Saccharomyces cerevisiae S288C: one gene and its partner. Each later gene encodes a partner of the first gene's protein in a complex. Each region holds a gene or a part of one and is shown on either strand. Other genes may lie near its edges.

Evidence for each region. Proteins that work in one complex are often made in the same cells at the same time.
Region 2: MRPL25 (region 1) and YML6 share a complex: the UniProt entries of both Saccharomyces cerevisiae proteins name them as parts of the mitochondrial large ribosomal subunit.

What each region holds. Positions count from the first base shown.
Region 1 is NC_001139.9:636,604-639,232, forward strand, and holds MRPL25 (mitochondrial 54S ribosomal protein mL59 MRPL25), read right to left. Parts: upstream 975-2,629; coding exon 501-974; downstream 1-500. Other genes in the region: U4/U6-U5 snRNP complex subunit PRP38, read right to left, coding at 1-272; PEX8 (Pex8p), read right to left, coding at 1,141-2,629. UniProt on the Saccharomyces cerevisiae protein: Component of the mitochondrial ribosome (mitoribosome), a dedicated translation machinery responsible for the synthesis of mitochondrial genome-encoded proteins, including at least some of the essential transmembrane subunits of the mitochondrial respiratory chain.
Region 2 is NC_001145.3:223,906-226,952, forward strand, and holds YML6 (mitochondrial 54S ribosomal protein uL4m YML6), read right to left. Parts: upstream 1,461-3,047; coding exon 1,434-1,460; intron 1,335-1,433; coding exon 501-1,334; downstream 1-500. Other genes in the region: 40S ribosomal protein eS17 RPS17A, read left to right, coding at 1,984-1,986, 2,385-2,792. UniProt on the Saccharomyces cerevisiae protein: Component of the mitochondrial ribosome (mitoribosome), a dedicated translation machinery responsible for the synthesis of mitochondrial genome-encoded proteins, including at least some of the essential transmembrane subunits of the mitochondrial respiratory chain.

The DNA.
Region 1 (2,629 bases):
TTCATTAAGATGCATTTAAACTCAATGCCACCGAGAACCATCATGTGTAAATGACCATTTTGACCTTTTATGGTACCAAATGCGCCAATCATAACTTTCAAAAGCTCTACCATTGTATTGCCTCTCAAAGATTCGTTGCTTAGATTTACTTTATAGTACATTGAATTATGAATTTTATCTCTTGTCAACCGAGGAATAACAAGTGACACTGACTGGTTATTCAGTTGTTTTGGAGAGATGTTAGACTCCACTTGAAATTCATTGACAGCCATTGTAGTCCTTGTTCTTTACCCACGTTTTGTTTTTGTTCTTGCGTTTTTACTGCCACTGAAAATATAGCGTTGTAATGGCTTTAGATTTTACTTTTTTTTATCATAATTCTTGTTCAGAACGTTCGTTATTGATATCACAAAATTATTTACATGATTAGACATTAAAAACATAAAACAGTACACATAGGGTTTACTATTCTAAACTATAGTTATCTTCTCTCTTATTCTTCAGAACCAGCCTATACTTTGGTTTTTTTTCATTTTTTCTACTCTCTTGGCATACTTCGAACCCTTCTTGGAAGCAATCAACTCATCTACCTTCTTTAAAGCTTCTTCACGTTTTTTTAGCTTTTCGTTTAATTTCAATTCATGCTTATGACCCTTGGGCAAGAGAACACCTTTCATGAGGGTCTTTTTATTGTATTTCTCCTCGAAGAAAAGTTTCTTAGTGTTTTCGATCGGTGGTAAAAACTCTTCTACTCCATAACGCAGTGCCAACTTATATACGTCACTCATTCTTCTAAGTGAATATTTCGGATCATGAAATCGTTGTGTGACCGGATGTTTATTTGGCAGGAAAGGATTGGCATTAATGGCTTTAGTAGATGTAGACACTGGAGAATACTTGATTGAAGGGGGGTATCTTTGGAAAAAGGACTTCAATTTCAAAGGCAAACTATCAAAATACTGTTTGTATGACATGGAGTTTAGTTTAATGCACTAGTTGGTTTTCCTATTCTGTATAAATGGTTCACTTTATTTCGTATTTCACTTGCTCTTCCACTTTCACTTGTATCCCAGTCATTTTTTTTTTTTGTTTGAGAAAAAAGGAATATAAAAAGGCGCTACTATAAAGTACTTAATGATACTATAATTTAGAAGATTGACTTGATAAGACCGTTGTGTACCACCAGTCGATGGCTAGGGAGGATTCTAGACTCGAAACCATTTCCCACAATTGTTGAAGTAGCTTTTTGTTATGTGTATTGATTAGCTGGAGACAGATGTTCAACCAGCCGATCAAATGATGAGGATTGTTGATAAAGGCTATTTGTACAATCAGACATTCAATCAATACATTCTTCTTTTCTGGGTTTTTTACATTAACAATTCTGATATACGTCTCGTGCAAAGAGTCCCTAAGCAAATGCTTGTTATAATTATGTAGTGAGGGAAGTTGTGTGGATAGATGGCCGAATATAAGTAAAATTTGATTTGCGGACAATTTACCTGCAATAAATTGGTCCATCGACATCTTTAAATAGACGAGTATGCGGGATACTTGCCATTGTGCAACCTGTGAGGAATAAGAGGAGTCTATAGACAGTACAGTGATTGTCAATGTGTGTATAGATTCTTTGATTTCAATATCCAAGGTATTGCCCGTCTTCCCGCTAAAAAATACATCGAAATGCAGTAAAGGTTCGATAAACTCAGTAATAAACGGCAAACGAATGCGACACCCATAGTAATTAGTAATTTTGTTTAGAAAATTGATGTAAAACACTAATTTATTTGGATCTTGTTTGGTGTTGTTTCTTTTCATTAGTTCCAAAACTGTAGTGATTTTAGACAAGTCATCCATGACAATGAAATACGTTACTAAATTATCGTAAACATAATCGTAACTGGGAAAACCGACTGTCCCGATTTTTTGAGTCAATACGTGGACGTGGAAAAGGCTTAAACAGATCATAGAATAAAAAGTGTCTTTATGGTTAGGCAGTATTGTCATATTCATGGCGGATAATTCTTTTAACGCGAGGATTATCAGGATAAATACATTTTGGAACTTGAAATCTAGTTGTTGTTCTTTCAACGAAGCCACAGTATCGGACAAGTATCGACATATCCTTTCTAGTTTGCGTACTGAATTTACCAAAGTTGCCTCATTTGACCTCGTGATTGAACTGGTCAAGCAACTGGCCAAATGATTCAAGTTGGTTGATAAGACTGAATCAGTCGAAAAAATTTCCATCGGCTGCACAATGCCGTGTACATACTCTTCCAAAAGGTCCAATAGTTTCTCTGTGACCAAATTCCATGATACGTCAACTCCATGCAAAAGGGCGCTTCGGTTTGACTGATTAAAAAGTAAAGCTAATGCTATCAGAAGGCAATGCTGAATCGATAAATTAGCCCTGACAATGGCAGTATTCCATAGCTGCGCCCATATTGGTGAAAACAGTTGTAATTTCCAGTTTCTGTAATAAAGCGCAGTTTTGTTGCTGGATTCATCAATAAAATAGGCGTTGTTCAATTGTTTGAAGCTCGGGTATGTGACTAGTACACCATCCAAAACCATCAACTGTGAAAGGTTCCACGTGGCTCGGTGAGATTCGAAAACAGCATTCCAA
Region 2 (3,047 bases), on another chromosome or scaffold:
ACCTGATATTGTTATTACTAAGGACCTTTTCCAGTTAGGATAGCAAAGGTGTCAGAATTACCATAGCCCAGGCATCAACCAGTTTCCGCGCAAGAATTCTCCTCCTCCCGGAACAAGAGGCCTGCGGAGACGAGTTCTTTGCCTCTGAAAGGCGAATCTCTGGAAGGATGAGCTTGGATGGCCCCAGTAAACGCATTTGCCTAGGTTGAGCCGAGCTAGGAGGACACCCCGACGGATAATTTAGCCCTTTTCCAATTTTTCAAAAAAACATGAAATTTCAAAAAAATGTATGGATGTAAAATTCAGTAGTGTGTACGGATTTTACAGTTTCTTGAATGAGACTTGCTTTTACGTCAAATCATTCTGAATTATACAATTCTTTCATTGTGAGATTGATATTTCATGGGCTTATTATTTACAGATTATTTTTTAAATATGTAGATGGAATAATAACTGGATGGGGTAGAAGAAGGGGTCACTTGTATGTGTACATATGAAAATCAGTTAGACACGGAGTGAAGGATTTCTTTCTGATGGGCCATTGCTAGATATTCAAGAGCTTCCAATTCGATAAAAACAGCTTGGGCTCTTAGTATGTCATTTACCTCAACAAGTTCTTTCTGTATAACATCTACTTTTTGTTTGTATGGATCAGAACTCTTTATCAGCCCTTCCCTAGTCTTGTCTGTAATGAAAAGTAATCTCTTACCTTTAAGTTGAAATTCCTCCAAGAATTTTCTGAAGATGACTTCGCCCTCAAAAATCTCTTTGCCCTCAACTGTGTTTGTATTCACAAGATCCAGCCTGTTCAAGTCGAGTTCTGGTGTGGGAGATATTAAGTCGACCTTTTCACCACCAATAACAAACAACTTTCCACTTTTATATTGGTGGCTCAAAGCGTTGTTGAAAGCCATGGAATAAACCTTGGATGGTAGCTCTGTAGTATAGTCGTTTGGTGCAGTTCTTGCCAATGCCCTACCACCATTATGTCTTGTTGGAGAGTTAGCATCCCCGACTCTTGCCCTACCAGAACCCTTTTGGGGCATCAATTTACGTCTGGAAAACCCGTTTTCACTTCTCCCGGGAGGATTTGAGGCGCCTACTCTTCTATTATCGTTTTCATAAACTACGGCTCTCCATAGTATATCACGCCTTAATGGAGCAGCTACAGTTGATGTGGGGACCGGCACAAATGTCAATGGTTCTAATGATGGAAAGGAGCGAACGGTAACTAAGGCGTATTTGGGAGGAATGGCTGCGTTTGGCAGAGGGTTTAACGTGGATTCTGCATGTGCGGTGGCAGTGGTAGCTTGGTAGCGTATAGATTGTAAAGTCTATTGCATAAAATGGTTGTAATGTTAGTATACGGATTCATCTTCAGAAAATCGACAACCAAATGGAAAAAGAGCGAGGGACGATCCTCTGATACGTACTTTCACCAAATTTCTTTTTATCGTCATTATTATTATTTCACCCTAGTTGAACGAAAGATTATTCGCATTGGCGTCCTTTGAATGTATCTCCCCCATTATTAATGGAACCTCTGTATTATACTTTTCTATTTCGAACTTTTTGAGACTCATTCTTGGTATCCCAGGGTGACCCAGTAACCTTTTTTCCGGTTTAACATCCGTGCATTACATCCGTACATTCTATTTTTTATTTTCCAAAAAACTGGGAGTTCTACTTAATTTTTTGGCCCCGTTTGGGAATCTGCTTTGCCACAGGAGGCGGCCTGTCCAGGAGGACAATAGACCAATGGCAGAGACGAGGTTTGTTGGGTACGTGCAACAGCGCCTGGGCTCAGCCGGCTTGCTGTGGGCAACGGAATGGTGCTTCCTAAGCCAATCTTTCATGCTGTAGCTATCGTCGTGATCGCTTTTACTGGCATATTAGCGTAATATGTATGAAATTAGGTATTAATCAAGCATTAATCGACTTAATTCTAAGAAAAGTCAAGATCTCGAGACTAGCAATAACAAAATGGTATGTTAATATGGACTAAAGGAGGCTTTTAAGGACACGTAATATTGAGTCGACATGCGCAATAAAGTCATACAATAAATAAGTTAAAGAAAACATATGACGATATTTTCAGACGATATGGAACTGCGATACCGAAAAAGTGGTGTGATTGAAATGATACTCATGTTTTGGCTATAGTTGCAGTGGCTTTCCAAAAAATTGGGAGTTAAAATGCCTATAGCAGTATCACCGGAGATTCAGTCTCTTGTGGATCTTCTTTTTGCATAGTTGAACAAGGGATAATATGGCGCCATGAACTGCCTCTACACATTATAATGTGTTTTTGATATCAGTATACTAACAAGTTGAATTGCATTTACAAACTTTTTATTTTGTATTGCTTTTCGTCATTTTAATAGGGTAGAGTTAGAACCAAGACCGTCAAGCGTGCTTCTAAGGCTTTGATTGAACGTTACTATCCAAAGTTGACTTTGGATTTCCAAACCAACAAGAGACTTTGTGATGAAATCGCCACTATCCAATCCAAGAGATTGAGAAACAAGATTGCTGGTTACACCACCCATTTGATGAAGAGAATCCAAAAGGGTCCAGTTAGAGGTATCTCTTTCAAATTGCAAGAAGAAGAAAGAGAAAGAAAGGACCAATACGTCCCAGAAGTCTCTGCTTTGGACTTGTCTCGTTCTAACGGTGTTTTGAACGTTGACAACCAAACTTCTGACTTGGTTAAATCTTTGGGTTTGAAGTTGCCATTATCTGTTATCAACGTTTCTGCCCAAAGAGACAGACGTTACAGAAAGAGAGTTTAAAATTAAATTAGAAAGCTATTTAAAATAATTTACTATTCAAAATATTTGCCTTTTCTTTTTTAATTTTTGTTTATTCTTTAATGTATAATTAAATAAAAAAATATTATTATATTTACTAATTAAGAGCGAAGCGTTTTATGTAGCTCCTTGGCCATACATACATTGCGCGCAATGTTTATGCTTTGATACCAAAGGGCTATCATCTTTGACTTGGAATTATTTATATTTTTTAACATTGACTCTGTTTCCTTTCTT